4 linked regions of the Drosophila melanogaster genome follow. The protein of the gene in region 1 interacts with the protein of each later gene in a pairwise test. Each region holds a gene or a part of one and is shown in the gene's direction. Other genes may lie near its edges. The genes, in order: CG33695, cpo, CG44005 and pira.

Region 1 (7,936 bases):
AGTTATTAACAATTTGCGTGCACAAATTACCAGCCTGAATCAAATCGAAACTATAAAAAATCAAAATGCCAAGACAAAAATATTGTGCGAGGAGTTGCAGACTAAAGATACCGTACAGACCGCTAACAAGCAGGAATCTCAGGAAGTCCTTACTCTCAAGACATCCCTTGCACATCTGAAGTCCAAGGTGTGTGAACTGCAGAAAAAACTTGAAAAGCAGTCAGAGGACGAAAAAATATCCGAACTGCAGTCGGATATTGGAGAAATAAGCGAGTGTTGCTTATCCATGGAACTGAAGCTAGCAGACATTGTAAATTGGCAGGCGGAGGAGTTGCGCCCTCTAGATCAGCTTCAAGAAAGCGGTGTCGAACTGCAGCACCATAGTACCACAGCTGAAGAATCTCTAAATGTTGAGAAGCCTATCCAGGAACAAACTGAACGAACTCTTACCACCGAATATGAACGCCGAATCGAGCAACTTGAAGAATCATTACAAAGGGCACAAGAGGAATTAAGTATTCTGGAGAAGCGAAAGACAGATGAGAACAAAAGCCTTCAGCTTGAGTACATGGCGAAAATTGAGACGAGCGAGAATGAAAACCGCTCCAAATTCCGTGCATACTGCCTGGATTTAAAGGAAACCCAGAAACGCTACGAAGAGCAGCTACAGCAGACCAATGAAAAGCTCGCCAGTGTTACGACTCAGTGTCAGGTGCATTTGGATGTCATTAAAAGATCTCTTCAAGAAAAGATTACTCAGGCCGAGAAGGAAAGAAACGAATTGGCTGTCCGACACAAGGCAGAGCTTGAAAAAATCAGGGAAACGCTGAAGGAGAAGGAATCTTCTTACAAGGAGAAACTAAGGCAAGCGGAGGAGGAGCGCGATAAGGAAATTTCTAGGCTTGAGGTGATGCGAAACACAATAGCAGAGCTGCATAAAACGAATTCTGATCGGGAAGTGGAACTCGAGGGAGTGAAAATGGAAAAATGCCAACTTAAGAAGCTGTACGACAAAAGCATGTTGGAGCTAGAACAACTGCAATGCACTGCCGACCAGAAAAGTTCGGATTTGCTGCCAGGCTCGTCGAACGAGAACATCGATGACCTGCAAAAGAAGTGCGATCAATATGTTCAGGATTTGGAGCTGTTGAGGGGCGAGAAAGCAGAACTGCTATCGGAGATCCAGAAAATCAACGGACAGCACTCGAATACCATAAAAAAACTTGAGGAAATCGAAGCGGAAATGATTACACTAACCACTCAAAAGGAGTTGGAGAGGTGTGAAATTGCAGAAAAGCTGGAGACTTTCAAGTCCAAGGAGGCAGATATCAAAGAAGCTCTGCACTGTGCCCAGCTCAGGCTTCATGCCTACGATAAGCTGGTGTGCGAGTACGAGCGGCTAAAAGGCTGTCTTTCGGATTCAAATAAGTTGTCGGAAAATCTGCAGAAGAAAGTGGAGCGTTTGCATGCTGAACAGCTTGCTTTACAAGAAGGAATTTCCGGCCGAGATTCAGAGATTAAACAGCTTCGCTCTGAGCTCAAGGACGCCATTGATGAAAATAAAACAGTGAGAGAAGCAAAAGTAGGCCTGGAAAATAGTCTTAAAGCAGTACAGGAAAATATGTCTGCCCAGGAAGGTCAGTTTAAACAAAAGATTGCTGATATTAAGGGTTCAGTAGACGAGCTTCAGATTAAACTAAAATCTCTGCAAGAAGTAAGAGACCATCTAGAGTCTAGAAATGAAGAGCTTAAAAGAAAGCTAAAAGATGCTCAGGAACTACAGAACATGGTGGATAAGGAGCGAAAGCTCAATTCCTCTCTACGAGAAGATTTTGACAAACTGGAACAAACCAAACTCGATCTCGAAGAGCAGCTTCGAGCCAAGAAAGTAGAAATCGATCGCCGATCCAAGGAGCTTGGCGAAGTGACCAAGGATTGCGAAAATATACGATCCGATCTGGTAAGTTTTATTTATTTAACGCCTTCACTTTTGTATTCTATTATATTTTATTCTATACCAGGAAGCTCAAACTAATGATTTCCTAAAAGAAAGGGAAACTTTGAACTTGACTATATCCGATCTTCGGTTGCATAATGAGCAATTGCTAGAAACCTCGAAAAATTATCTATCAGACATAACAGCAGCAAATAATTTAAATCTCGAAATGAAGAAGAATCTTCACGATCTCACAAAAGAGTGCAAGAGCTTACGTTCCGATCTGGTAATAATTAATCTGGTAATCTATCTGGTTGATTACAATATAGGTAATTAAAATTTTTCAGCAATCCAAAGAAGAATATTTCCAAACGCAAAAGCAACTGTTGGATGAAACAATTTCTAATCTAAAGGAGGAAAACCGCAAGATGGAGGAAAAGTTGAGTTCGGGTAACAAGGCGCTCAAAGAGGATTGCGAAAAGCTCCGTTCAACATTGGTAATATTAGACTTGTCTTTGTAGGTTATTCGGTCGCTAATGAAATATTTATTTAGGAATCAAAGGAACTTATACTGCAACAGAATAAACAAGAGTTAGAGGAAAGGCTGACTGTTATTAATGAGAAGAATGGGAAAAACGCACTACTTGACGCCCAGTTGAAATCCAATGAAACCGCCTTTACATCACTGCGAAAGGCATGGATTAAGCAAAGTTTAGCCATAGAAGCGGCCAATAAAAGAAGCCTCGAGATGGAACAGAAGGTTGATAAACGTACGAGGGAGTACGAAGAACTACGATCAACTCTGGTAGAATAATTGCAATCAAAGGCTCTTATAAAATAGCTTAATGTTTTCTCTTTAAATCGCCTAGAAAACCAGGGAAATCAACTTTCGATCGGAGAAGGAACGCATGGACGGCACCATCTCTAGCCTGTTAGAAGACAAGCGTAATCTTGAGGAGAAGTTGTGCACAGTCACCGAGCTCCTGGCTAAGCTAAAGCGCGAACTGCCGGCTTTACACACGCAAAAAGTGAACGGAGGCGATGTGTCCATTGAGTTGAATTCCTCGAATGGATCGCCGACTCCTGCAGCTGTTCCAGCAACAAAGAAGCCCCTGGACTGCAATTCCGCTGAATGTGTGCCAAAGGTACGTATGATCTTCTAAATTTCAAGCATGTAATATTTTTTTTATTTCTCTCGTAAAGAAATCCAGCAGCCTAGAGACTGCGGAGCGGAAGAATCGACGGATGACGGCCTACGATGAGAACCGTAAGCAGTTTTGCTGAAACGACTTACGTGACGGCGGAACTACGACCGTTCCTTTAGGTAAGTTAAGGTTTGCTTGGCCGCGAAATCGTCTAAACTTTATGTGGTTTTAACTAATATTGCAGGTGGCAATTGCCACTGCGAGCAGCGGAGCTGCAAACAAAGACTGAGTTCGGACTGGAGGCAAAACGTTGAGTTCAACGATGATAAAAAAGATGATTAATGTTATCCAAGTATTAGGGATTTCTTTTGTTAGGTGTTATCTTGCAAACGGTGGAATTCCACATCATAAAGTTTTCTATTTATATTTACGCCCTAAGTATTTGTCAAATACTATCAATACAAAAATTACAAAAACAATCGTGATCGTAGTATTTAAATTTAAATCTGTATTATGCTGGTTTTTGTTTAATAGTTAAATTCGATAAATAGTTAAATATTGTTAATTAAGAAATGTTTCCTTCATCATGTGTAATAATATTTGGTTCATATGTATAGCATTGAATAAACTATTTACATTTTCTTAATGTTAAAATCAGATTCGCATAAGTTGCTGGTTCTAATAATAAAAGACATAAATTACTTAAATGTAAATCTAAATAAGCATAACGCTTCTTGTTTGAATTCCCGATTGCACCAATCGATAAGTCGATAGTAGCGCAAATACATATTCTAGTGTTGTGCATTGGAAAATTGACGGCCGCTTGAGTGTTGTGTACGGCGTCAGTGTTGAATAGCTGCGGACGCAAAACTACGTAAAATTACGACAAAAAAACAGCGCCCCGCGAAAAAAGGCCATGAACTCGGCAATCAAGGTAGGTTCAGCCGCTCCACCACATCCGCCGGCAGCTCCGACCGCGTTGATCCCGTCGCCAGCGCCTCCGCGCGTTGCAAGCGAGAAAAAGGCGGCGCGGGAGAGAGTCGAGAGTCATTCGTTTGTCTCACTCCTGCGAGTGGGAAATTTGTTGTTCCACCGTGAGTGGGCCGGCGGGCGGTGGGCAGGGGCGGTGCGTTTGTTTTGAATTTGCACGCGGTAACAACAAACTGACTCCGGATGCAAATCCGCATGCACTTGCAGGTGGGGGAGATATTCACGGCCGCCGGACAGGCGTTCAGCAGACTGGGCGATCTAACCATGCAGCTGCATCCCAATGCGGAGTCGCCATCGGGGTAAGTTGATTCTATGCGGTGGAGTCGCGAGTTTTGTGGACACTAATCGGAGTGTTTCTGTGTGCCTTGTTCCCTCGCCACGGCTGCAGGAAGTGGACGGACGAGGAGATCGACATGCTGCACTCGTCCATAATGCGCTTCTCCGACGACCTGACCAAGATCAGCCTAAGCATCAAGAACCGCACCGTGTAAGTGATCCTGTGCTCCTGGCGAGGGAACCGGCTGCCCAGTGTGTACGTGCTAGTTTTAATTGACCTTCCCCATTGCAGTTCTCAGATCCGCCAGGCGCTGAAGAAGAAGGCCTTCGAGGACGCCGGCATTCCCGCCAAGCAAGTGCCCGTCCAGCAGGTGCAACACGTTCTCCAGACGCTGCCACAACAGCAGCCGCAGCAGCCCCTTCAGCAGCCACCTCCTCAAGTATTCAAGTCACAGCCAATCGTGCAGCACGTACAGCTGGTGGCGCAGCCAAAGCAGATCATCCTGCATCCACAGTCTAATACAACTACGACGGGCACGACGGTGACTGTTAAGCAGTACCAGCAGATGCAGAAGGCTGCGGCATTAGCGGCAGCCCAGGCTGCAGCCTCGACGGCCAACAACACGCCCACCATCACGGAGAACATCATTATCCAGCAGCCCACTTCGACTACGGCGACAGTGGTGCAGCAGCCACATATGGTGTCCACCTGCTCGTCGACGCAGATCGTGGTGCCCGTTGTGTCGGCAGTGTCCACTGTTCCAACAGTACTCTCGCCCACGGTGGTGATTGCCGACGATGTGGTTAGCACCTCCAATCCTCCAGCGGCAGCGGCGACAGTAGGATCGCCAGCAGGGGCGCCAGCAGGCTTAAAGTGCGGACCAGACGTGTCCATGACCCTCAATCGCATCAATGTCCAGGAGAACGAGGTGGACGTGGAGGAGTGCCTGCCCGCAGAGGTGGTCAAGCTGGATTTTGTCAGCGAGGAGGTGGCCGGGTGAGGTTCGAGCCCTCGGAACGGGCTGGACTTCTTCTACTAGATCTCCGGCCGCAGAACGAATCACGTAACTTGGAACAGAACCGCTACAAATCCAGATCGAGAACTCTTAAGCAAAAAGGTTGAGATGCCGCCCTAGCCCTAAGTCTAAACTGTTAAGTGTTGTCATATTTGATATACCCTGAAATCACCTTGTTCCGGGCCCCGGATGACAAATGAATTGTGCGATGTGGAGGACGAGTCTGTGGATCGCCAGCCACAGAGCGTAGATATTAATTGCGGAGCGTATATGCGCCGCCTAGACTTAAATTTACGCAAGACACAATAGTGCAAAGTACATAACGACGATCGTGTAAGTTGAGAGTGAATAAACGAGCATTATTTTAAGATTCGGCGATCTCTGGGATTTTATTGGAGTTAGGAAAGCCCAAGGAGCGTAGAAATTTAGTTATTTGCAATGGCTTCTACAATCTCATTGCTGTAATTTGTACTTCATACTTTTATTTTGATCAGACTGTATTATAAAAGCATATATATAATTATATTTTTAAAGCACCCAATGCAAACTCAATTGTGTTTCTAATGGTCCGCTAAATTATATTGCATTTTATCTTTATTTGAATGTACCCATCCAATTTATGGGACCTATTTTATAAACCTTTCCTTTTAAATGCACACCACGTATTTTAAATTCATCCAATTATTGTACAATGAAGTCTCGAGAAATTTCGAATGCATTTTCAAATTTCGTTCTGCTCATAATTGCGCTCGCAACCCATACATTGCCATTCGCATGTCGGATTTCAAATCCGCACTTTCAGAATTTCCAAAGCGGGTAGCAAGAAGAAGAGCGGCTAATAAAGATACGGATACATCAACAACAACAGTCGGAAATCCATTGTTCCCCACAAAATGAGACTTCGTTTGCAAGTCCTGGTGGCCCTGTTAACCTGCTCGTCCATTTCCGTCTCACTGGCCTACAAACCGGTGGTCATACTCCATGGAATTCTATCAGGAGCCGAATCGATGGCCTCTCTGGTCCGGGAAATCGAAGAGGTTTGTTTTTCGATTCCCCTTTGTTATTGTTTACAGTGGCAAGGTCGAATTTGACGCAAACAACGCAGTAGCACTGATAAACTCATTTCGTCCGTTTGTAGTTTCATCCTGGCACTATCGTCTACAACTGCGACAAGTTCAATGGATGGTACAGCTTGGAGAACGCCTGGCGACAGGTCGATCAGGTTAGGGATTATCTCAACGAGGTGGGCAAACTGCATCCAGAGGGCATCATTGTGCTGGGTAAGGCAGCCGATTTTCATTAGAGTATTTTCTTTTAGTTACCAATACTATGCCTTTTTCAGGATACTCACAAGGAGGCCTTTTGGCCCGGGCGGCCATCCAAAGTCTGCCCGAGCACAATGTGAAGACCTTTATATCTCTATCCTCGCCACAGGCGGGGCAATACGGCAGTAAGTGAGATCAAAGTTTAAACCAATGAGTAAATTCTATTTATATAGATGCATAACTGCGTCACATTTTTCCGGGCTAAACTCTTTTAAAGCTTACAAGAAACAAATATATTATGTAACTGTGTTCAAAAATTACGCAGTTGGGTTATAAAACAAAGGGGGATCACAATGGTTCAAGTTTTTATTTTTTGGTAATATTTTCAGCTAGCTTCTTGCATCTAATCTTTCCCGACTTGGCGGCCAAGACAGCCTTCGAATTGTTCTACTCGCGCGTGGGACAGCACACCTCGGTTGGTGGCTACTGGAACGATCCGCAGAGGCAGGATCTCTACCTGAAGTACAGCGAATTCCTGCCACTGATCAATAATGAGAAGAAGACCTCCAACTCCACATCTTTTAAGATGGGAATGGTGCGTCTAAATAAGTTGGTAATGATCGGCGGACCCAACGACGATGTGATTACTCCGTGGCAATCGAGGTATGGTTTACTTAGTCGGATATTATCAAAGGTGAAATAACCACAAATCGTATATATTTCCTCAGCCACTTTGGTTACTTTGACGAGAATATGGATGTGATTCCATTTATTAGGCGACCGATTTTCACCAGCGACTCCATTGGCATCAGGACGCTTCAGGAGGCCGGCAAGCTTATCATTGTGGTCAAACCCCATGTTCATCATCTTGCCTGGCACACGCGAAGGGATGTCATCCACGAAGTGATATTTCCATATCTGGACTGAATAAGAAACCAAAACTACTGAACTATACTGAGCGATCAAACGGCTGTGATCGGAAAGGCGGACAAAGGCTCACTCTCATCAATAAGCATTAATGTGAAGTTGCTGCCTGGGTAATTAGGCTACAAACATGATCTTTTATTGGTAACTAAGCTATATATTTTTAAAACAGCCTGCGTATTGCAGCAGAGATTTTTACAAAAACTCATAAACTACTTATAAATAGCCAAATAAAGTGAAACTAGAAATTTTTAAATTGCAATTTCAATGATATATATTTGGATATTAAAATGAATCGTTAAAGTTTATATTTCATGTCGTCAAATTTGTTTGTTGAATTTAAATACTTAAATCTCCCGCGCATTTTTAGTTACTGATAGATAA
Region 2 (8,543 bases), on another chromosome or scaffold:
TCGTCAGCAGTTCAGGAATTTCTCTCTCGCTATCCCCGTATCACTCGGATTCTCTCATGAAAAGGGACTCTCTCTCTCTCTCTCTCTCACACACACTGCCTGTCGTTCGCGTGGTGAATTGACCAGGGAGTTGTTAACCAGGCAAGTGGGAGCACATGTTTCTCTCAGTGTTATGAGTGGCTTTTCATATTTCATGTGCAATTTTAACACCTACTACAAACTAACTGCCGAGTGTGTGACTCCAACTTTCACCACACACCCCCAAATACCCGCCCCCTTTGGGCATTACATGCTCATATGGTTGTTTTGCGCAAACATTAAGCAACAACATCGTGTTGCATATTCATAAAATTCAACTCCTCATCCAATGGGGGGCGTGTGTGTTTATGGAAATATGTTCACTGTTCACTTCCTCCCCTTGCTTGCTGTTGCCAAAAAAAAAAAGAAAAGAAAAACAGTTTTTCATTGCATTTGGGGATGTTCTTGCAGCAGCAGCGCCAATTTGGAACGAATCGCTCTTTATTGCATACTTCGAGGGGCAGGGAAATGATCCCTTCTCAGCGAATATTATTGAAAAGATTTGGCAGCTCAATCGAGCTTAAAATTGCAATAAACTTGAATAGGTTAACAAGCTGCGAAATACAGAAATATATTATAGTTTTTATGCTAGAAATCATTATATATACTTATACTTAGTTGTAATTTCATTTATATTTATTTCTTCTAAAACTTTAGCAATTTCCTTTAAAATGATTTCGCTTGCTTAGATCTGCTTTAAATCCATTTGAGCCAAATCTATTTTTGGATGCCCAACTTTTGACCTTAACACATCACGTGCTTGTCAAAAATATCCAACACTCAAAGCCCACAAAAATTTGTACACTTCTGTTGCATATTTCTCAATTGGCTTGAGTTGTCGTCGCTGTTATCGCTTTTATCTGTCAGCTTATCGCAGCCATCATGAGATTTGGCGTAAATTGTCACAGCCACTCCAGGCCAGCCTTCCTTCACCAGTGCATTTCCTTTACTTTGGATGCCTTTGGCAGAGTTACAGAGAAATAAATAAGTAATATTACTAATATGCATACGAATCAATGCATAGTTATTAAATATATCGAACAAATATCTGCAGTATCTTATTTGTAGTTTAACTATCAAAGTCCCATATAACAATAGTTTTAGTTTGGGAATTGATCTAGGTACAAATTAAAAATATTTTTATTATAATACTAAAAACCATTTAATTAATAGAATATTACTTTAGTTTGTCTTAATTCAACTACAAATTTGTTCTCAGCGTATGACAGCTGAAAACAGAAAGATAAACGCGTTTCTGGCTGTCGAAACTCTTATTCCATTGCTGATAGCCTGCTCACGTGCAGTGTCTTCGGCTCGCAACACTCGCACACCCGCAACACTCGCACAGTCGCCGGCACACACACACACTGGCACACGAAGGGGAGCGATTGGATTTCCGGCGGAGATGAGAGCAAGCTACGTGGGCGGGGGGAGTGGCAGGTGGAGTCTGGGAGTGCCAGGAGCTGTATTTGGCCGCCAGCATTTTCCGATGTTGCCGCTTACTTTGTAAGTGTGCGTGTGTGTGCGTTTGTGTGTGTGTCTGGGCGGCTGACGTCATTGAGCTTTTTATTGATTTTCATTTTAACCAAAAAAAAAAAAGAAAAAACAAGAAGAAAACATACTTGGGCTAGGACGCAGGGCAGGAAGGCCAACAGATGTCATCCAAGAAAAGTCGAAATGCGCAATTAAAGAGAGAGAGAGAGAGACTGCAAAGGGGGCTTTCTCGAAGGAAGTTTTTGACAAGAATTTCTTGGGGCCAGCGAATGCTGTGTTGTAAGGTAATTACAAGGAAGAGATGCTTTACAATTTCTAAGAGTTAACTTTAGTTGATTTCAAGCTGCACGTGAATAAAAGCACTTCAAATACAAGTGAAAGCCCACAAACGTATTATGGTGTAATTTAATTTATTGTTTGCAAGCTCAACTGCGTAATCAGGCTGTTTATATAAGTGTACACATATAAACCTGATGTATTTTGATTTTTCTATTATTGTTTGTCAAACAATCGTTATGGCTGATTTTGTTATTTTTGTTGCCTGGTGAAAGCTATGGAAATTAGGTCTATTTGCACAGGCAATTAAAGACTGCCTGGTTTTGGATGAGCACAAATTTAAATTTAAGTTGAATTATAACATATTTTAAAAAAAAATTATAATTACTTAAGGCATTGGTTATCATAACAAAATATTGTGCTACATCACAAACAAAATGCATATTTGTTCGAAAGGGTGTTTTTAAAAAACTTCTACCTCTGTCATATAAATTTAATTAAAAAAAAGTATGTGATTTAATTGAAATTAAAAAAAAATTCTTTAAATTTATTTTACAACAATGATTTTAATACGTATTTATTTTAATAGAAAAATATACATATTTTTGAAAATCTACATCTACAACTAAAGCGACACCTGCCGGCGCGCCACTACAATTCAATTGTGCGGCGAATTAGAAACTTCGCTGTATTAGCCAAGGCAACCACCGGAAATAGTCATAAATTTAGCCGATTCAGCTACCATTGTACCAAAGTACGCCTTTCGTCTTCTCTAAAAACCTGCGCAGAATTAATACGCTTTCTATCTTTCGCTCTTCTACGGGATATGTCAAAGTGACAAGACCATTAAGGCAGACAATGTGAAAGCTATATAAGCGACAAGAGAGCGAAAAACAAACAGATAAAGATAAAGCCACCCCCAAAAAGCCGCCCCTTGCCGTAAAACACGGACCCCCACCAAATGGAAGACAGCCAAACAACCCCCGAAAAAGCAAGGAAAAAATTCAGGAAAAATACCTGAATGAGATTATGATGGGCCTTGAACGAAATGCAAGGGCCAGGGAAAATTGAGAATTTTATTTCAGGCGGGGGGTTAATATTAAGGAGATGCACCACCCACAACAAGCACTTAATAACAAATGTGTGCGTGTGTGTGGGCGCTCTCGCAGGACTTCCGTTCGCTCTTTTCTACGCTCTCTTGGATGCTTTTTGGATCTGCGCGCAGCAATCTCAACGAGATGGGGCGAAAATCTCTAATAAGGATGCCCGATGATGAAAAATTCATGGCCTGGCATCGCACGCATCCTGCGCTGGCTCCTGAGTAAACGAAAACACTCCGACTCAGTCACACGCAGCGAACACAGAGGCCAGCGATATATATAGTGAAAACCCCGAAAAATATAGCCAAATTGAGACCAATATCTGAAATTGTGCGATAAATAAAACGCTGCATACCCCGCAGGGCGCAGCCAACTTATTCCGAAGCCAAATCGAGAAATTCTTCGAAACGCGAGTGCCACCAAAAATTTATTGTTTCGAATTCGCAGCCAGTGATTGTATAATTTCCATTGCTTTGCTATTTTTACGGGTGTGGGCCGTCCAACGGCAGCGGCAAAGAGGATATATCTATCTACATATATCTTCCAGGATATACGGATTAACCCAATCTGCGCCAGAGATAATTACCGAAAATCGACAAATTCCCGGGCATAAAAACTTAATTGACTTGAATAAATAATTTCCAACCCGAGTTGTTGTTGTTTGTTCGCCTACGGTTTTTTTCGGTGAAAGCGAATGCGGGCCCAAAGCGGAATCGGAAAAAGTTACTGAAATACAACGGCAGGAAAAAAAAACGAATACATAGAGAAACTGCCGCTGCCGTTGCCGCCTGTGAAAGCAAAGAGAAGGGGGTGGAGAAGGAGCGTGGGCAAAAAGAGAGCGAGAGGAAGAAAGCGCGGAGGAGGTCGCGGAGTTGGAGAAAGGGGGCTCGAGGAGTAAGAGAAAGCAGCCATTACTGCGAAAGAGAGCCAGAGTCGGAAGAGAAAGTCCAAGAGACAACATCGCAATTTTGTGGAAGACATTCACAGTGGATGGAAAATTTATAAACAAAAGTTAAGCCCTTAAGAGAATGCTGACAAAATAAAAAAAAAACGCACGATAAATATATTTTAGAAATGTAACTTAAAAGAAAAGACTCATATCAACACATATCATTCTATAGTCTATAGAAAATATTAAATAACTAAATATACAACAACAAAAAAAGCTGAGACAAGCAGCTAAATAATTCCAGCAATTACCTAAAAACCAAAACGATATTTTATTGTCTTAAAAGAATAGAAACCAATGCGATAACCATACATATCATGTAAATCGTTTAATGCCAAAAGGTGAAATATGAAAAGTATATTAAATTAGCACATTTAAAAGAAATGTAATTCAAGAAATTAAAAAAATCTACGAATGGAAACGTAAACATATCATGTAAAACGCCTAAAAAGCTTGCTGAATCCCTAATCAAGCTTTTTTATCTTATCAACAAAATAAAAAACAAAACAAATGAACTAGCCTAAGGAGAGTTGTGCAAATTATCGCATACATATCAAAGCTCTTGCAAAGAGCAAATATAAATATTAAATTTACAATTATCTAAGATCTAGTTACCTTAGAAAATCCAAAAGAACAGTAATTTTTGTTAGAAGTTTTACATTAGTTGTCTCGAATATAACAAGAGAGAGATATATACATACAACAATATTGTCACATATCATTGAGGAAGCCTCAGCAAAAGTCTAAAACTATAACGACTAGAAAACATATCAATTAAATTAGACTGCGTGTTTATGAATGCTACGCGAAAATATTAATTACTTTATCAAGCGGACCAATTGCAAATGACGAGAAGACTTCATTGAATTCCAGACGACGGATTGAAAAATAACTAAAGTTCTTAAAAGGTAAGTTTTCACAATAATGAAACCATTAACTGAAAATGGTGGGCTTCTGTGGAATAAACGTAAAGGATTGTGTCATCTGAAACGATATATTAATATTAATTAGAAACAGAATATAACATTTTGCTATGATGTTTCCGTGCATTAGTCAACGGTAACGTTGTGGTGAAAATTGGCCTACACTAATTGACATTCTCTCTTTACGTCAAAGGGCTCTTAATTAGAAAATCAAATCCGAGAATGCTTTTGTGGTTTTGGCGAGCCGCCTCCCCACCAGATGTATTTCCATACGCCGAAAGCAATCATAAACTTTTAGCCCTAAGCGTGTGAGCTTAGGTAATCCACAAAACAGCCCAAAAATAAAACCGTTCGGGACCCCAACATTTTATGCGCCAATGGGTCTGGAGGGTATTCGTGTTTCGCTAAACCATAATGAGCCTGTCGAAGTGAAATTTGTTGCTGCAGCGCCTAGGATCATGCCACAAACATCTGCAAGCACCAACATACGGGACAAAATCAATAGGCGGCCATGTGTGTGTGTGCATGTGTGCGTGTGTAGGTAAACAGCTAGAAAAATCAACCGACACACACGCAAGAGGCGGTGGAAAAGCGAGTGTGTGTGGAAGGAGTGAGAGAGAGAGAGAGGGGATTTTCTCCTTCGTCTCCACGCGCGCTATTAAAATTTTCATTTTTATGATTATCGCTTGTGAAAATCCGCAACAATTGTGCCGGTTCACACGATGCAAAAGGGACTAAGCACACGACGCACAGGCAGGCAGCAGGACACCTACGATGATGAAGCCGCGAGCCAGGGAATACAGTGCGTATGCGTGTTATTTCTCCGCGACTGAGCAAATGTTTAACTTTGGGCATAAAATTAAATTTAATTTTCAATTATCGCGGCTGGCAACGGTTTGGTTTTGGCCTTGCAGGAACAACTGCACCCCACGGCGGAATAACGAAGCGATTAAAAAAAATGCTCCAACTGGCCGAGAACTGGAGTTTCAGTTGGCTCACCTTTTGGCCATTAGAGCTGTGGCCACTTTAAGGCCGCTCTCGCTGCAGCTGGCTCACTTTGGGGCATCAAAAATTCATCTTGCCGGCATCCAGAGCTCTCCATCAGCCAGCGGCCAGTAGCATCTGCTGACTTTTCGCCATTTCGCGCGCACTTTCCCATTTTCCCCGCACTCACTTTTTGCCATTTTCTTCTTGGCCTGGCCTTCCATCTCCACTGGCCAGTTCTGGCCGAATCCCCCTTGCGCTGCACACTTTCGGGCGCCAGCACCTAATGAGTGCAAAAATGAGCTTCGGGAAATGCTGAACGGCAGCAGCAACAAAGTGGCGCTGGGAACATGAAAGGACACTCTCCCAGTAGCCTTGGATATCATAATTACACTGAGCTCATCCTCAGTCAACTATGTAATAAATACGCCCTTTAAAGTGGCTTTTTATGAAAGGAGGTGTTAATGAAAGGGAGAAGCTCGCCATTTGTGCAGCAATTCATTTGGCTTAAAGTTCACATTCGTATGTATTAAATAAAAATATATTGGAGATTCAATAGCATTTCATATTTTACATGTAAGTTCTTCAACTTTCGTCTTAAAAACTCTGCAGCTACGAAAATGTAATGACCCAAATATGCAAGCTTTTTTATGTAGATTCATTCCAATGAAAATACTCAGTTTAAAGTTACTTTACTTCCGTTGCGAAATGCGTCGCCTTCTTTTGGCCAACTTAAAGTAGCCAGGGCAGGGCTTTTTTAGCCAACGTAATGCCAACGGAACTTTCCACCAAAGTGGGTGAAGGTAATTTTCCACGTAGTCGTGTCGACATTTCATGCAAATTGTTTTTTTTTTCTTTTTGTGCAGATTCTCAGGCTTGTTCTCGTTCTGTTGCGTGAGCTTATTTTCTTGATGTTTTCAGCGCTACACTTATTTAAAGTTTCGCAGGATGGAGTGCTGGATAGAGCGGCATTTAAGCGGTATTCATGAAGTCCTCAACATTTTGCTAAGCTCAAAACTTGAGTGAGTGCATGGTTTATGGCATTTCTGGGCGCTCACGCAGGTCGATTGCCAGCCAGGTGATGTCATCAGCTGGGCTGCAAAAAGCCAGTTGAGGGAGGTTGGGAGTTTGGGAGTTTGGGAAACTGGAACACTGGGAAACTGGGAGGTGAATGTGCGTTACCTACAGGTGGACAATCTAGCTTAATCGCTGGCTCCACCGAATTAATCAAAATTCATGTAGCATACCCTCTTGAATACAACAAACGCAATTAGGCTGAGCTATTCCACCGAGTGTGTGTATGCGGCCCAGAGCAATCATTTAAATAGCTTACGTTTTAGCCACCTCAAACGCCGCCTGACAACCGCACAAATATATCATATGCGAGTGGAAAAAGTGAACTCGGCTGGCATACAGAATTTCCTGCCGCTTTGTTGGTAATAAGCGAAAAAGCTGAGCGACCTTTGAACCACCGAACGCCCACCATTTTTCATGCTTCATTACATTAGATGACACGCCCCCATCGACTCAGCCCTTAGCCCTCCGACACCACCATCTCCTTCATCCGCCCTTTGTGTCCTTCAGTCCTATGTAGACGTGTGACAATGACGTAGTAGAACATTTCATTTTTTCGGCGGCAGGAAAACTTCAGATGACTAACTGCCAACGGCGCCACGCACTTTTCCTACTATTATAAACCACCCCCCCCCCACCGTCGCTTAGATTTTTCCAGGTCCTTTTTCCGAGCTGCGCTCTCATTGTTAATTCATGAAATGTTTGCCACTAACAAAAAATTACACTTAATGCTAACCTGGCCAAGATGATGGCCGGGGAAAAGTCCAAGTAAATTTTCCAAGCCGCTGCAGGCGAAGAAAAACCTACCGAGGGGTTGGGAGCTGAAAGACAAGGATAATTGTCACTTACGGCTGCTCCTGTCTATATGTATTTGTATCATATCGTATATACTTTACCACGGGCCCGAGCACGCATTAAATATTTATGAAATTACAGCCCGGGATATGTATACACATACATATATACAAAAAGCTACCTTTGTTTAAGTATACATGGAAAATTGATTGACTGACTGACTGCTTGACGGCTGATTGGCAGTTTGCTGGCCGGAGGGCGTGGCGTTTCGGGTCCCAAACTTCTGCTGGCTTTCCCAGGACCTCTCTTTACGTGAATTTTCCCTTTTAATTGTCGCATTTGGCTTAATTTTTAATGTGTCAGTGTGAAAGTTTAGAATACATCACATATGCACAGATGTTTGGTGGGGCAACTTGGGTTGGGAAAACCTCTTTAGCGATGACCAGTCGTAATTACATGGACAGCTGTCACGTTTCCGCAAGGAGTTTTAAATTGGACTAATTCTCCAGACATGCAAATAATGATGATGATGATGGTGGCCCACTTTCCGTCCCATTCAGTAGCTCGCTGTCCCCCCAAATAGTTGCTCATATTTTCACGCAAAGGGAAATTCAAATTTCAACTGCGTCGGGGACACTCAAAGGATAGCCAGCCAGCCAGCAAGCCAGTCAGTTAGTCAGACAGAAGGAAAATCCAAGCTGCAAACTGAATTCCAGCTCAAGTGCATGCCAATTGCTCCCCAGCTGCAGTGCTCCTCGCTTTTCGGGATTCCTTCCTTCTCTTCTGTCTTTTCTGTTTGCCTTCAATTCGATATTGACTGATTTGTAATTTAAGATAAGCAAAGGAAGGAGCTGCGAAGGGAATCGCACT
Region 3 (7,962 bases), on another chromosome or scaffold:
ACGGGTATAATAATAAGTATCAGAAATAAAAACTGCTTTACTTTTTCCGTGCGCCTTTTGTTAACTTGCTTTACTGTTGCAACAGTACATGTTAGCGAAAGTTTTGGGTGAAGAAGGAGGGTTGAGAGTAGGGTTGTCACCAAGGGTTGGTACATTACGACAGTATAATTACTGTAATCTATACCGATTTGCAGAATAAGCTTGATGTTTTGCCCAAGTAAGTGCTCGTGAGGTGGTAACCGCAGCGGGAATTGCCCTTAAATGAGTCTTTAAGTGGGGACATTAAATTGCTATATTAAACTGACCTCAACATGTAGATATAGATATATGTACATATACATATGTACATGCCACTATAGTTACATAACTTAAAGGAAGCATGCCTATTAGTATTGCATCTCTGCTGTTAGTAATAACGAATTGGCGGTGATCAGATCAAAATTTCGACTTTGAGTAATTAAGAAGTAATAAGCTTAAATCACAATAAATCGTAGTTAATGATAATTTGTGAATTAAATTAATTACTTCAGTTATTTATCTATTATAGATTTTATGCCCAATAGATCTTTCTGTATTCTAGAGGCAATATTGCTATTGGTGCCCATAATGGTGCAGTTGTATATTTTCTTGTTTATTTACTCACATACTTAAAAGCGTTGTCTTTCAAGAAAAAAGTTTTGTTTGCATCAGCTTGCCACTGCACTCTCCGAGTCAAAGTGCATGAAAAAATAGCGGGATAAATTAGTAATATTTATACAAACATTAGCTTTTACAATAAAAAAGATACGATAAGTGCAACATCAATATCATAATTAATCCTTTTAGGACAGGTTATTGTATTGCACAAGAAAAGACTGCAAAAGTTTCTCTCTTCTTCTCTCTTCGATTTTACAGTTTCACTCTGCTCTTTTATCAGTGAGCTGTGACACAGTTCTCAGTTCGCTTTTCGCTCTGAAGGCAGAAGCTCGTAATGGATATCCAACGGAGAATACACGATGTGCCCCATTCGAAAGCCTCGATCTGATATTTGAAAAACTTGTTAGTTTACAATATAAAGTTAACTTACCTCTGGCGCACGAAAAGCTTGCAAAAGCTTTCTCCTGTCACAGCCGCAACAAATTCAGGACAATTACGCTCGACGGACGGCTAACACTTGATTCTTGGAAGTTTCTTATTCGGGAATGTGGGCCCACGATTGAAGAATTTGTATACGGTGTATGTGGTAGAAATGTGGTTGAGAAACATTGTCCCAATTTGAAATCAGTATTCGTTCTGTTCTATTTGTCTGATCGGGAAAACATGGCGTCATTCTTAGAAAATATGAAAAGCTCTCTGACATCGGTAAAAATAAACCAACAAAATTACTTTCCGGCTACTATCGTTATCGCGGTGAGTGAAAAAACGCAACTAAAGGATTTTTTTCTTCAGGGGATACGTGGACGAAAATGGTGAGCTTCGTGAATTTATTAATGTTTATCTTTGACTGGGGCCTTGTTCTCAGTTCGCCATTTAGATAGACATACATACATATGTATCTGAGGTTGACGTTTGAGATTAACAGCTGAATCGTGGTGTTGATTCGACGTGGAGAGTCCTTGTAGCGGTTGTGATCATAATAATGTAAAATGTCACTTGCTCAGAATAGTTTTTATATAGATTAGATGACCCGGAGGACGAAGGCTCTCCCGAAATTATCTTCAATGTGAAGATTCTTCTTTCTGAATGTTAGCTAAAAAATGTTTGGAAACTGGCCAGAAGAGATTGCAATGGCTCTGGTTAAGGATACCATTAGTAGAACATCAGCGCAGCAGAACCCTGGAGTTTCTTTTGGGAATTTACGTGCGTTACAATGCTGACATAGGACATATAAGTATGTACATATATAAATATACATCATGACAGTTTTTTACTATTCGTGAAAAAATAAACTTATCACACTGTGTTCAAGGAAATAATTAATACATTTATTGTATTGTAGAAAGGAAATTAGTGTGAAGAAATGCAAAGTGGATATCACCTAATTTGTACGTATGTACATATATACAGTAATAGTAATGTCAGTGAACTCTAATCAGATAGTACAAAAGCTTTTCTTATGTTTCTCTTCGTTTGCGAATGCATCTCTCTCTTTAATAAATACAGTTTGCCAGATGCCTCAGTTCGCATTTCGCTCTCGACGAAAAAGCTTGTGATGGATAACCCGCGGAGTATAATCGATTTGCCGGTCGAAGTCCTCGATCTGATATTTACGCATCTTATTTATATGAATTACAAAGTGGAGCTGGCTAAGGTTCACGAAAAGCTCACAAAAGCTTTTGTCTATCACAGCAAAAATGAGTTTAGGAGGCTTAAAGTAACACCGTGGTTATCAAATGAATCGTTTTTGTTGGTAATACAAGAATGTGGCCACACAACTGAGGAATTAGTTTTCGATAGAAGTTGTGACTTTTGGAACGATATTCTAATCGAAGCGGTTACCAAATACTGCACCAATCTGAAATCGTTTACAGCAGTTTTATATAGGTCGGACAGTGACCAAATATGTTCCTTTTTGCGAAAAATAAACAAATTATTATTATCCCTTTCATTGGAACAACGTTCGCGATTTCCATTCGAAATATTGAAAGTTGTTGGTGAAATGACGCAGTTAAAGGAACTTTCAGTAAAAGGATACATTGACGAGAACGGTAAGGTTTTAATAGCACAATATAATAGTTTTTAAACTTACTGCTATGTTTGTAAGGATATAACGCATCGGATAAAAATTTAAAAAAAAATTTTGAAAAATTTCTTGAAATTTAGTTTGTGAATGATTTCTAACAGCGTTTCATTCAGTTAACGAAATTCAGAAATTGGTCGCCCTGGAGAAGCTGAACATCGAACAACATTATTATCTAGACAAGCCTGATGTCAACATACTGAGAATCTGTTCGTCACTAAGCAACCTGCGAAAATTGACTATAAATAATGTTCATATAATCTCATGTGAAGAGCCCCATTCAAAAATGTGGGCCGATCTGGAAACCTTAAAGCTCATTATATGCGCATTAACTCCCGAGTTACCAGACTGTCCTAATCTAAAAGTTTTGGATATTCATTACCTCCGAAACTCCAACGAAGGCTACATTTTAAAATTTATACTTAAAAATGGGAGAAATTTAAAAACCTTATATGAAAGATGCCATCCACCGATCGATGCCAACGGTTTTCTTCAATTACTTCGAGGGTGCCCCAATTTACGATATCTTTACACTCCTCTGGAATATATTAAACTCTATGCGGCCTATCTGTCTACTATTGTGGAAATTTTGAGGGAAAATAAAGTGACGCCGGAGAACCCATTTGAACTGGTTGTGTGTAGACGTATTAAGTGGAAATGGTTTCGTAGATTGGTAAGTGGAATTGGTTATGATGTCTTAAATTTTGGCTTATTTTAACCCTTAGCTCCGTCGGACACCAAATGCTGAATTAATAAGCCTTTACTTAGCTGAAGAATAAGGAAAAAATAATATTACTATAATAATAAAATCCAAAATTGATTTTAAAATATATATAAAAAATATTTTATAATTTTATAAAGATATATATATGTAGAAAACAGCAAATCTAAATTATGTAAAAATGTTAGCTAAGAAAAGATGAAATAAAATTAAAAAAATAAATAAATAAAAATGTATTATTTAGTTTTCTTAATATTTGTATATTCACATTTTTGTAAATTCTACAGAAATTATAATTTTTAAAAAATTGGTGAAAAATTGGAAAACATGCTTATAGTCAGTAAGTACAACCTTCCAAATGATGACAGCTTGCGCGAATTTACAGTTAGTTCTCCAAGTGAGGAGTACTTGGTTCTCTCTCTCAATTGGAATTCGCTAAAATTCCCATCCCCATCAGTTTTGCACCAGTCTTGCGTTTGGCCTTCGCTCTCGAGGGTATGGGGTACCTGCAATGAGAAATCAACGGACTATAACCGATTTGCCATTCGAAGTGCTCGATATCATATTTAGTAACTTACGAAATCTAAGGGACAAACTTCGACTGGCGCAGGTTGATGATTATCTGGGAAAAGCGTTTTCGTACCACAGCCGCAGTGATTACAAGAAGTTCTCACCAAAAATACATTTTCCCGTTCGACTTTATCGAGTTCTGCTGGCGAATTGTGGCCCTTCCATTGTGGAATTTACCTGTGGATCGGACACCTGGAGCGATCTGTTGGCCAAATCGATTGCGAAGTACTGTCCCAACCTGGAGTCGGTGAACATCAGTGCTACATTAAGAAATAGTCACAGTCTTCAATTTTTTCTATTGAATTTGGCGAATTCTTTAATATCGGTCGAACTGAAGCTCAACGATAGTTGCCAATCGCCGAGGATACTTAATGCCGTCGCCGAGCTGAAACACTTGAAAAAATTCTTGTATGAAGGATACATTGACCGGGGAGGTAAGTCATTTAGGAAAATAAATCGAATTCCCAATAGTGTTATATTCTCATTTCACTCGGCCTTAATGGGTTAAATGAGTATACATAGAAGTAAATATAATACGATAAGCTGCTGTTTATATTCAGGCTCGGCCGATATCAAACGGTAAATTTCTTTTTCCGCTTGACGATTATCAGATTTCTGTCCGTCTTTGTTTTCTTTTGTTTTGACTCCCGTTCGGCTAATTTAACATTGTAAATTATAATGTTTTCTTTCGTTTTTAAACTTATTTACATACTTACTTGCATATATTTACCGCTGTTGTAGCGATTATAAAATAGTAAACTTGTTACATTGTTGTCCACATTTTTCAGTTAATCAGCTGTGCAAACTGGTTGATCTGGAGGAGCTGCAACTCATCTATCAAGGTAGAGGATATAGATGCAGAGCAGTTAATCTTCTTCAAATTTGCGGAAATATGACAAATCTTCGGCGTTTGACTGTGAGCAATATATCGATATCTCAACCAGAAAGCTTCCATCCCATGATATGGCCAAACTTAAAAGATTTGAAAATGCAAAATTGCGAAATCTCCACAGTGATGCCCGATTGTCCCAAGCTGAAAACCTTATATATCAAATTCTGCAAATGTAGAATCAAAGGATATGTATGCAGTTTTATTTTGAAAAACGGCAATAATATCGAGGAAATCGATGAAAGCTGTGAACCGGCACCATTTGATGGCCAGAGTTTCCTTCAAGTCATTCGAAGCTGTCCAAAATTGCAAGTGTTGTCCACTCAAATGGGGGGTATCAAGATCTACCAAGCTTTTGTTACATCCGTAGTGGATATTCTCAAGGAGACTGCATCAACGCGAAAAGAACCCTTCGAGCTGATATTGTACTGCCGAGACAAGCTTAGATGGTTTCGACGATTTGTGAGTGGAATCTACAATATGTTTACTTTACATACACTTTTCGTTGTTAATTTTCGTCTTTCAGTTACAACGGACTTCTAATCCTGAAGTGATTCATACGCTTTACCTGTACAAGTTTTAAGGACTGGCAAATTGTATATCAGAAAACACAAAACAATTAATTATAAATATATTTTAATTTTTATTTAACCTGTATAGAACGATTGTACAATTTGTAAAACTTAGAAAATATTTGATTTTTATTTTTTAAATTGTATTGAATTAGAACTGAATAACAATAATTGCATATATCTATCTAATGTTACTAATATAAATTTATAAATTTATTTAAACTACATTAAACTTATAATATTTATAAATAATTTCACAACTTACGATGTGATGTCACTTAACTGAGAGCTGGAGAGTCGGAATATGTTCATACGTACGATTCGGTTTCTCTTATTTAACTTTTCTTTCTCCCCCTCTCAATTGGATTTTAGCTAGCCGATGCTCTTGCTGCAGTTTTCAGTTCGCAATTAGCTCTCGGGCTAAAAGCTTTGCGATGGAAAACCAGCGGACTATATACGATTTGCCGATCGAAGTCCTCGATCTCATATTCGTGGAACTACAGAGTCTTGTGGATAAGGTGCAACTGGCACAGGTGCATGAAAAGCTGGGCAAAGCGTTTGCGTACCACAGTCGAAGTGCCTTTAAGAAGCTCAGCCCTTTCTTTGGAGTAACTCAAGAATTGTGGTTGGTTATTGTGAGCCTATGTGGATCGACTGTTGAGGAATTTTCCAGCAGACAAATTTGGAACACCCCATGGAGTGATATACTGGTTGAGTCGATTGAGCAGCATTGTACCAATTTGAAGTCGGTGAGAATTGATGTGTTCGAAAACAATTGTGACGGCGTGCGGTCATTTTTGTTGAAAATGAGTAAATTATTGGTATCAGCTGAACTTACTATATTCACGAAAGATCCGAAAAAGCTTTTCGATTCGGTCGCAGAAATGGCTAATGTGACACAATTAGCATTGAGGGGTAATATTACCGAAGATGGTAAGTTAAGTATGTTAGTGATAGCCCAATTTAAATACAAAAATATTATCAATATTTTCAATACTTTTCCATATACACATTTATACCCTAAGAAATTGTTGAATAACCAATACACTCGCTTTTTATTTAGTCTGCCAGATTCAGAAGTTAACTGCTCTGGAGGAACTAGTGATCGATTATAATAAAAGCTTCAATCCATTTTTACCTTTAAATCTTCTCGAGATTTGTACACCACTTACGAATCTTCGCTCCTTGACAGTACGCAACATAACTATAATACCCTCAGAACAGCCGCATCCTTTGATTTGGCCAAAGCTGGAGGATCTCAAAATTAACGACTGCGAAATTATTACGGAATTGCCCGATTGTCCGAAGCTAAAAACTTTAGACATGATAAACTCCAACTGCTACATTGAAGGCCTTCTGTTTGGGTTTATTCTGCAAAATGGAGTGAATATTAAAAAGATGAATGAAAATTCCAATCCACCTCCATTCGATGGAGATAACTTTCTCCAAGTTCTTCGATCATGTCCAAAGTTACGTGCATTCTATACACCAATGAAGGCTATTAAAATTTACCAAGCTTTTGTGTCAGCCATTGTTGAAGTTCTCAAGGATAACGGCGTCAAGAAGGAGGAACCTTTTAAACTAATTATTTACGCTCGTGCAAAGTCAAAATGGATTCGTCGATTGGTAAAATAAATAACAAATAGTGGGAAGCATTATTTATTTTTTTTTTTTTTAAGATTCCAAGGACCTCAAATCCCGAGTTAATAGATTTAAATTATTTGTATGATTTTGCGTTTTAAATATAAATTTGGGCTCCCATATGCCATATGTTATTTATAGATTGGCCCAAAATTATCAAGATTATCATGAAAATAATGTTAGGATAATACCAAAATATATATGTATGTTTCAAAAAATTCTATATTGATGTTGTTTTTTATCATTTTGGAGAAGTATATAAATGTGAGTATATATTCGTCGTTTAAAATATATATTAATTAATATATACTATTAAGCAAAAGAGATATCACCAAATATTTAAAGCAAAGCCATGCACATGGAACAATTTAAACAATATGACTAATACTCGAGCAAATCCAAGCCCCACACGAACTTTGAACTTGCGCCTGAACTTGAGCGCCATACCCATCCATTTCAATCTTGTCCTTTCCATCCAGGAGTGCGTGTCAGGTGCAATGGACACGAGTCCCGCGCAGGTTCAACAACATTGGCCGCAAATTCCGTGGCTTACTCATCAGGTAGTTGGGCGCTGGTAGCCTAAAGTGGGAGTTTTTGGAACAATGATTCAACTTCAGGTTGGGTTCAGGTTGGAATAATACAATAGAGGTGAATAATCTAAACTTGTTCACCTCAAGCATGACATCCTTTATTTAAATATACTTCCAAAAAGTGGAAGATTGTGTATATATTAATAAATTAATTTATATTTGTCCTGATTTTATGTTACAAAGAGAAAAAAAAATAAACAAAAATTCTCAGATTATCGATTAGCAACGTTGTAGGGATTTTTGTGTGGCTGCAATGTCGA
Region 4 (8,891 bases), on another chromosome or scaffold:
GCCATTTCTCCTGTTCCTTCCACTACTTTTATTGCTCACTCTTTTATGCACGTATTAATATGACAATTATGCGAGTGCAACAAACCACAACGTCACAAGCGCACCAAGTGATGAATACTACAGTTCAGGGGGAAAAAAAAATTGCAAGCAGTTGAAGTTAAAAGCAAAACTTGCATAAAATACGATCCCTTTTTAAATGTCATACCCAAAATAAAAGTGAATAGGAAATATTTGCTAATATAAGGTTTTGTGAAAGAGTGCATATGGTATTGATAAAGAATTGAACTAATGCTAATATCTTGACCGCAGCTGTATGTGCAGCCGCCCAGAAGAAAGAGAAAAAATCAATTTAAATTTGCGCCCAGCGGCGAAAAACGGAACAAAACAAAACGGGGGAGAAACGAAGGAATGGGAATTTAGCATACCATATTGTGTTTTTCTACGGGTTTTAATAGATACTATCAATGAGATACTATCAATTGATATGCTATTGAATCCCGATTTGAATGCTGCATATAATCAGCTAAATAAATTGTCTATTTGTTTGCCATTTCCTTTATTCGGTTCGCTGCCCCTATTTCCATTTTCAGTCTTAACACTTGCGCGTTATGTTAGTTCGAGGACATCCATTGATATTAAAAAAAATTCTTCATTAAATTTAATTCAAATATTATATTAATAAATAAGAACACAAAATTAACTCCAAAATTAACTCCATTTGCATAAAAAGACAATTTTACAATATGAATTTGTTTTCTGTTCATTTGTATTTCAAGTGCATAGGAAGAACTATAGAGTTTTTCGTTGTGTCAAAAAATTTACTTATTATTTACTATTTTGCAAACTGGGTCCATCAAGGGTTAATATTGTTGTTCCCTTACGAACACATCTGGCACAAAACAAAATAAGCAAAAAACGGTAAAAGGGGGTTGCGCCAAGAGAGCGTTCAAAAAGAGAGGGTGGCAGAGAGAACTACAGACACGCCAAGGATAATAGCAAAAGAAATCAACTTAAAGACACACAAAAACACATAGCACACACACACACACAAAAACACTCGAATTAAACATAAATAAATGCAATTTTCGCCAGCTCCGTTTTGTTGTGGACAAACCTTTACAATTAAATTAAACAATTCGAATTTAATACAATTGGCGGCTGCGTGTGGAATTCGCTTGACACACCAACAACAAATGAATGCTCACTTTCTTCGTTTCGGCTTTTGTTTGTTGTGGATTTTAATAAAAGCGACTACTTTTTATTTCGATCTATTTCGTATGCAGTTATTTCGATTCTTTTTCTTCTCTTTTATTTTTATTTTCTGCTGCTGCGGCGACGACACAACGCCGACGTCGACGGCGACGCGAAAACGACGTTGCGCTGCGTTTGCTGAGAATTTCCGTTACCGGCGTTCGAGCGACTTTCGTGGCAACTAGCGGTACCGAAATATCGAAGCTAACATCGATGCATCGATGTTTTTATCGATTTTCCGAAACATCGATGTCTATTTTTTTTTTTCATCGCTATTCGAAGACTCAGAAAACGAATTTCTTCAAATTTAAATTTATTCAATTTCAGTTATTAGCATGCAATCTTAAAATTGTATATGCATTTTCAATTTGTAGTGGAGGCCAAAAAATTTCCGATCAATTGATTTCCGACAAACTTATGTTTATCAATACCAGTTTAAGATTATGCATCTGAAAATATATCTTATTTTTTTTAATTTTATTATATTAATATTTGTTTTATATTAAATTACAAAAAAATTAAATTTAATAATAAATAAATGTTCTTTCTTTTTCAACAAGTGTAAATAAAAATATTATAGTCTGCAAATATCGATAGACGGCTAATTGTTGGGTATCGATAGCGAGCGGTGTGTGCGTCCGCGCTGCATGGAGCTGGCATTGGGTTTGAGTCTCAGCTTTGGAACTAAAAAGCATGAACTAAAAACATCGTTTCGAGAATTAATTGAGAATTAAATATTAAAGTCCCGCGTATTTAAAAAAAAAATAAAGCTGTTAGTTAAATATGACATCTTCTCTGCGAACGGTTTGGTTAGAGCAAACAAAAAAGTTTATATGACTACAACGAAAAATTCAATTTAATAAAGAACTAACGGAAAACATAGCATAAGTTTTTCCCGAAAAATATGATGTACTCAGCTGGATATTTAAAAATAGAGCAGGCTTGTTGTATTATTTACATATGCATTTTCCACGTGCTTAAATGTTAAATATATTTTAAATAATATATATAATTAATATATGCATAAGAAAAAACAATTCGAATAAAAATATATTTTGCAAAATATATTACTGCAGCCAGCACAGATATGACACTATTTAGTAAAGTATATACAGTAGTAGTAATAGTAAATTTGTAAATGTAAAACAAAAGCCAGTTTCCAGTTGCTTCACATTTAAGGAATTCGACTTGGCAAACTTTCTGACAGCTAACAACGTTGTGATTTAGATGCGTTTTTCCGCACTTGGCAACCGATGCAAATTGCGAAATGGAGCCCTTTGGCCCGCGGAAAGGAAAACGTGTGTGTGTCTGTCAGTTGTTTTTTTTTTTTTTTTATAAATACGCTCTTGGCAAAAAACAAAAAAACAATAATATTTTTGTTTACATTTGATTTTCTTATCGCCGCCAAGCGATCCATGTGGTGAGAGGAGCTCAATGCTGACGACTAAAAATCGGACAGGTGGACCCGATGACGGACGCACAACTATAATTTGATTAATGTCTGTACTTGTATTTGCAAAATGTTGAAATTAAAACGAGAATAAATTTTTGGTTTTTAAAAATTCCCATACAAAGAACTTGCAACAAACGGCTGAACTTATAACTTTGTAAATACCACATGTAAGAATACTAATACTTGTAAATGAAAAGCAAAGAACTTAGCTTAGCTAAGATTCGCTTAAATGCCTATATTTCGTCAGTTCAAATATTATTTAATTTCAATATTCGCAACATTCAAATTTCAAAGCGGACTATCGATACATATTTTTAAAAACACCCCACAAAATCCATACCAATTGGAAACATATACATATGTATCGATATGAGCAGCAAAACTCCGATGGCGATAGCAACTCGCACAGATGATTTTTGGATACAGCACTTGGGACGCCGTTTACCCCAACAATAAAAATAGACAGATATCAAATATCGCATAAAACACACAGATTGGAAAATGAAAGGAATATAGTGATCAAAGTCACCGTGTTAGGTGACTCTTCAACCATCCAGTTAACTTTGCACATCAAGCAGCCCGAGAATTTGCAATCGAAACGAGAAACTTCAGTTCAGTCAGATCAGCCCATATAACGTACATATGTTATACTATTGAATCCGGCTCCAAAATGGATCGCAAAGAAACTGTTTCGAAGGACCAAGCGGTACGTCGAATTGCCCATAATGACTTTATATTAGTCTCACGTCAATTGCTGATCAATCGAGCCGACACGGATCCGGACAAAGGAAGTGCCAGGATGTTGATTATCTACAGCAGTGGAAAGCAGCACATCGTCACCTTCAAGCTGCCGAATCTTGCGTGTAGGGTGCAGGATCTGTTTTTCCAAATGGACCTTCAGATCGATGAGAGCACCACGATTGATTGCATTGAGAATGCCGGCGGTATTATCCATTTGGTTGTCTCTGTGGGCTTCCCCATCAGTGATAACATTGCCGAGACGGTTGCCCATGCGGAGGAGTTCTATAGGAAGGTGCATCAGTCAAAGGCATCATCGGCTGATGCCGCTCCACCCAATGCGATGGCCGGTGAAGAGCACTCCCCTGCGGTTGTCAAACCATCAGAGACTGCGGTGGCCAACAATGGTTGCCAGCCAGCTGCAAGTGCAACCAAAGGCAAGAAGCACAAGAAAAGTCCTTGCGGGAGTCCGGGAGAAAACAATGATGGCCAAGTGATATTGTCGGCGGATCAAGACGCCAATACTAATACCAAGGCCAAGAAACAGAAGAAGTGCCATATTGCAAAGGATAACAATGGAATTCAAGCTGCTAGTTCTCATGACAACCCTAGTTCATCTGGCAATAAACAGGGAAGTCACAACTCCACGGCTATAACCTCCAATTCTACAATGACGAGTAATGGTCTTCGGGGCGTGCAACCAGCTGAAGATGCTCCCGCAATCTCCCAGTGGATCCAGTCGAGGAACAATGCCGCTGTTAGCAAGAAATCGGAAGAGACAGCTGGTGGATCTCAATCGCGGGTGCAATCGAATGTTGCATCCATATCCTCGCCAGCGGTGAAAGCAACTAGCGACGCTGCTATACCCACACCAGCAGAACGCGCAGAGCGTAGTCGCCTGCGCCGAAATCGCAATTGGATACTAAGCAGGGACGTTGATGAAGATGCCGTGGTGCTGGTGAGCAGCGGTGATGAGGAGACCACCGCCGCCGATGATGGCCAAACCGAGAGAAGACTTTCACCCGATGAGAATCAAACCCTTTTCACATATCCGCCAACTGGTACCGGTGGCCTGAGCATCACCATCAAGGACTTTATGTGTCTCAGTAAAGGATCGTATCTGAACGATATAATCATTGATTTTTATCTGCGCTGGCTAAAGAATAACATCATACCAGAGGAACAGCGCGATAGGACGCATATCTTTAGCACGTTTTTCCACAAAAGATTGACCACACGAACGAATCCCAGAAATACGAAGCAGACGGCGGCCCAGAAGCGTCACGAAAGGGTTGAGAAGTGGACACGAAACGTCAATATATTCGACAAGGACTTCATTATAATACCATTCAATGAGCAGTCCCATTGGATACTGGCCATTATATGTTATCCAAACCTTAGAAGCCCGGTGGTAAACAATAATAATGTGCAGACGACACTCAGTGATGATATTCCCATCAAACAGCCGTTGATACTTATTTTCGATTCGTTGGCAGTCACCTCAAGACATCGAGCGATTGCCATATTGCGGGATTATCTCACCTGTGAGCACAAGGCCAAGTATCCGAATGCGCTGGCGCATGTCTTTAACAAGGATAATATGCCCGGTCATAGTGTGGAGGTGCCGCAACAGCAGAATCTTACAGATTGCGGCCTCTATCTGCTGCAATATGTGGAGCAATTCTTCACAAAACCCATCAACGACTATACACTGCCCATTAAGGAGCTGAGCAATTGGTTTGACCTGCTCACAGTAACCAAGAAGCGTGAGGATATCGCTAATCTCATCAAGAAGCTTATGAATGAAAGCAATCAGCAGCGCAAAATTTTGCCGGTCATTAAGTTTCCGACATTAAATGGCCAACTGGTGATGGATGAGGAGGATAGCGAGGAGGAGAATTCTAAAGAGGAGCATAAAACTACGTTGGTTTGTTCAAAAGACAGAAAACCGCCGAGGAGAAGGAATACACTCAAATAAACCACTTGTGAGAGAAGTGAAAATACATATATTTTCTACAAAACAACTGAACTGAAGACGATCGCAACGCAATGCTTTGGAACACTAGGAGGAGCAAATTGACACGGCGGAGATGGGTTCACCAGAAATATACGTTTTTTCCCTCAAGGAAAAGTTTCATACACACATACAATCACCAAAAAGAGCAGTTCAGCCAACAAGACGATAAAGAGGCTACCTACTGGAGAGATAGAGACAGAGACAAAGACAGAGATCAGGATCACAGGATGAGCATGTTAGGCAGGACGAGGTGGATGTCAGGAGTTGGAGAATGGACAAAAATCAAGAAAAATTCAAAATTCAGAAAGTCACCAAATGAATAGAAAATATTTTAGAAACAAAATTTGTAAATAAAATGCGACAATAAAATTTGTCACGCATAAGCAAAGCTTTATAGATTGCCAAAAAATGTACATATGTATGTATGTACATAAGTACATAAGTTGCCCCGCGCGGTGTTCATCGGCCATTTGGGAAACTGCAGGGTATTACCAATCAGCATTATACTCGACTCTAAGCCCACACACACACCCACACGCAAGCACACACACGCGAGCGCAAACACATGGATCTCTTTGCATTGGTGTTGGGGTTCGGCGATAAGAAAATCGAGCCATAAAGTCGCGCCGGCGATTCTATAGACGCTCAGTTGCTTTGGAGCGATTCTTTGATGCAGACGAACATCGGAGTTTGCGGATTGTAATAATAGAGCCAAGCGGAGAGAGCGAAAAAGACAGAGAGAGAGATAGAGAGCGAGAGCGAGAGGGAAGGCACCAGCGAATATCGAGCATAAAGCAAAGCCCGCAACACGTGAAACAGCCAGCAGCCAATTGATTTCAATTTCGATTCTTAAAGTGAAGTGACCAACAACGTGCGATTAACGAGATGTCCACCACCACAACAGCATCCAGTAAGTTTATCCATCGCCAAGGTTTCCAAATAAACAATTGTTGTGCCTAGAACGTAAATAGTACCAAAGCTACCATCTTTTATTCGATCTTTCATCAATAAAAGACAAGCTTAATGTGATGGAAAGCAAGACAGTTGTTTATGTTTTCCCGCCAGCCTTGGATTTATTTAAACAGTTATTCGGGTTACTCAAAAAAATAAAACAACGGAATATTTTCCTGGTTCTGATAATATTTTAATGCTGTTTATTGAGCTGTCTGCTGTAAACAAGAAGGCTGGCTTTCCATTGTTTAAATCAAGATAATTGTGGATTTCGTAAACAAGTTGTCTTTCCATTCCTTAAATCAGTATCATCATATATCATATAGCATCGATTCTAAATACTAACTAAACACCGAACGTAACGAATGCAACTGCAACTTGAATTTCCACAGTAGAGGGCTATAAGCTCGGCAAGGTCATCATCGAGGGCAAAACCAAACAGGTGTACGATCTGCCAGAGCAGCCAGGACTTTGCCTGCTCCTCAGCAAGGATCGCATCACCGCCGGCGATGGTGTCAAAGCACATGATCTGGCCGGCAAGGCGGAGATCTCCAATACCACCAACGGTCAGGTCTTCCGGCTGCTCAACGAGGCAGGTGAGTTGCTAAACCATATAAGTCAAATCAACTATAATGCATTTTAGTCAATTTCTAACCAAATTGATCAATTAATTAATTAATTAATGCTTCTTATTCGACAGGCATTCGCACCGCCTATGTGAAGCAGTGCGGCGCCAAGGCCTTCATCGCCCGCAAGTGCCAGATGATACCCATTGAGTGGGTGACCCGTCGCCTGGCCACCGGTTCGTTCCTCAAGCGCAATGTCGGCGTGCCCGAGGGCTACAGGTTGGTAAACAGCCAATGGCTGGCTGTGGGTTATCACCCCATTCGATTTGTTGCGATCTGTGTGTTATCTGTGTCCGCTTGCGGTAAACAAATTCAAATGCAATCGATGCACTGCAGCAGGGTCAACAATCGCTGATAAGATTGATCGTTTGTGAACTCAAAGCCCACGAAATCTGTAATTCAAGTCAAGATTTTCGCCAGGGCAATGCTGCTGAGATGCTATGTGTAAATTCGTTTCATTTGATGTCGTCATACCAAGGCAATAGCTCTTTTTTATGGCTTTGATTGCCAACAAGTTCGCCTCTTTGAGTTACTGTAGAATATATATTATACTAGAAGTAATACAAATGTCACTTGATATTTAATTTATTCATCTATTTGCCTCAATTTGCTGCCTTATTACTACAATTACATTTGCATTGCGCAGGTTCTCGCCGCCCAAACAGGAGACGTTCTTCAAGGATGATGCCAACCACGATCCCCAGTGGAGCGAGGAGCAAATTGTCTCCGCCAAGTTCGAGCTAAATGGCCTGGTGATCGGTGGGTACTTGCGGCATAAAGCACTTTTACATATACAAATCTAAAACTGGCAACATGTTTTTCTTTAGGCCAAGATGAGGTGGACATTATGCGTAGAACCACACTGCTGGTCTTCGAGATTCTCGAGAGGGCATGGCAGACCAAGAATTGCGCCCTGATCGACATGAAAGTGGAGTTCGGTATCTGCGACGATGGCAACATAGTTCTGGCCGATATCATTGATTCCGATTCGTGGCGCTTGTGGCCAGCGGGTGACAAGCGTTTGATGGTCGACAAGCAGGTGTATCGCAATCTGGCATCGGTGACGGCCAGCGATTTGGATACCGTAAAGAGGAACTTCATTTGGGTGGCCGAACAACTGGCTGATATTGTGCCCAAGAAGGATCACCTGGTTGTCATTCTGATGGGCAGTGCTTCCGATATATCGCACAGCGAGAAGATAGCCACCAGCTGTCGATCCCTCGGCCTTAATGTGGAACTTCGCGTGAGTTCGGCCCACAAGGGACCGGAGGAAACGTTGCGCATTGTCCGCGAATATGAATCGGTGATGAGCAACTTGATCTTTGTGGCCGTCGCCGGGCGATCCAATGGACTGGGTCCAGTCGTTTCCGGCAGCACCAACTATCCGGTAATCAATTGTCCGCCCGTCAAATCGGACAACATGCAGGTGGACGTGTGGTCCAGCTTGAATCTGCCATCGGGGCTGGGCTGTGCCACAGTTCTCTATCCAGAGGCAGCTGCTCTGCATGCGGCCACCATTCTGGGGCTGGGCAACTTCATGGTCTGGTCGAAATTGCGTGTCAAGGCGCTCAACAACTTTATCACTCTCAAGAAGGCCGACAAGGAGTTGCGCGGCGTGCGAAATGCTTAGTTGCTGGTTATCATAGCTTATGGTGGGAGATATCAGCATTGGATATCAACCAGGAGGCCATATATAGAGAATCCTTCCCTGATCATTGCCGTTCGGCGATCATCCAGGGATCCCATAAAGGTCATCATCAGATCACATACTTTGTTAATTCTTCTTTCTCCTATTTTTTTTTTTTTGAAACCAAACATTTTTTTATTAGTATTAGGAAAGCATGACTTCAACTTG

Evidence for each region.
Region 2: the proteins of CG33695 (region 1) and cpo interact in a two-hybrid assay, tested with the Drosophila melanogaster proteins (one large-scale study listed by BioGRID).
Region 3: the proteins of CG33695 (region 1) and CG44005 interact in a two-hybrid assay, tested with the Drosophila melanogaster proteins (one large-scale study listed by BioGRID).
Region 4: the proteins of CG33695 (region 1) and pira interact in a two-hybrid assay, tested with the Drosophila melanogaster proteins (one large-scale study listed by BioGRID).

What each region holds. Positions count from the first base shown.
Region 1 is NT_033779.5:11,274,116-11,282,051, forward strand, and holds CG33695 (uncharacterized protein), read left to right. Parts: upstream 1-3,905; 5' UTR 3,906-3,997; coding exon 3,998-4,015; intron 4,016-4,035; exon of another isoform or gene 4,036-4,254; coding exon of another isoform or gene 4,255-4,278; coding exon 4,279-4,370; intron 4,371-4,459; coding exon 4,460-4,558; intron 4,559-4,639; coding exon 4,640-5,348; 3' UTR 5,349-5,732; downstream 5,733-7,936. Other genes in the region: cana (CENP-ana), read left to right, coding at 1-1,960, 2,022-2,222, 2,284-2,433, 2,490-2,741, 2,806-3,081, 3,140-3,220; Ppt2 (Palmitoyl-protein thioesterase 2), read left to right, coding at 6,257-6,400, 6,502-6,643, 6,706-6,813, 7,018-7,291, 7,357-7,555.
Region 2 is NT_033777.3:17,916,665-17,925,207, forward strand, and holds the start of cpo (couch potato), read left to right. Parts: upstream 1-3,167; 5' UTR 3,168-4,805; intron 4,806-8,543. UniProt on the Drosophila melanogaster protein: May play a role in the development or function of the peripheral nervous system by regulating the processing of nervous system-specific transcripts.
Region 3 is NT_037436.4:18,068,059-18,076,020, reverse strand, and holds CG44005 (uncharacterized protein), read left to right. Parts: upstream 1-3,897; 5' UTR 3,898-3,951; coding exon 3,952-4,444; intron 4,445-4,798; coding exon 4,799-5,361; intron 5,362-5,425; coding exon 5,426-5,482; 3' UTR 5,483-5,721; downstream 5,722-7,962. Other genes in the region: CG44004 (uncharacterized protein), read left to right, coding at 2,192-2,687, 2,836-3,392, 3,445-3,498; CG44006 (uncharacterized protein), read left to right, coding at 5,906-6,404, 6,535-7,097, 7,151-7,213.
Region 4 is NC_004354.4:12,757,827-12,766,717, reverse strand, and holds pira (pirate), read left to right. Parts: upstream 1-3,106; 5' UTR 3,107-3,374; coding exon 3,375-5,420; 3' UTR 5,421-6,076; downstream 6,077-8,891. Other genes in the region: PAICS bifunctional enzyme, read left to right, coding at 6,345-6,369, 6,803-7,006, 7,111-7,255, 7,683-7,795, 7,864-8,666.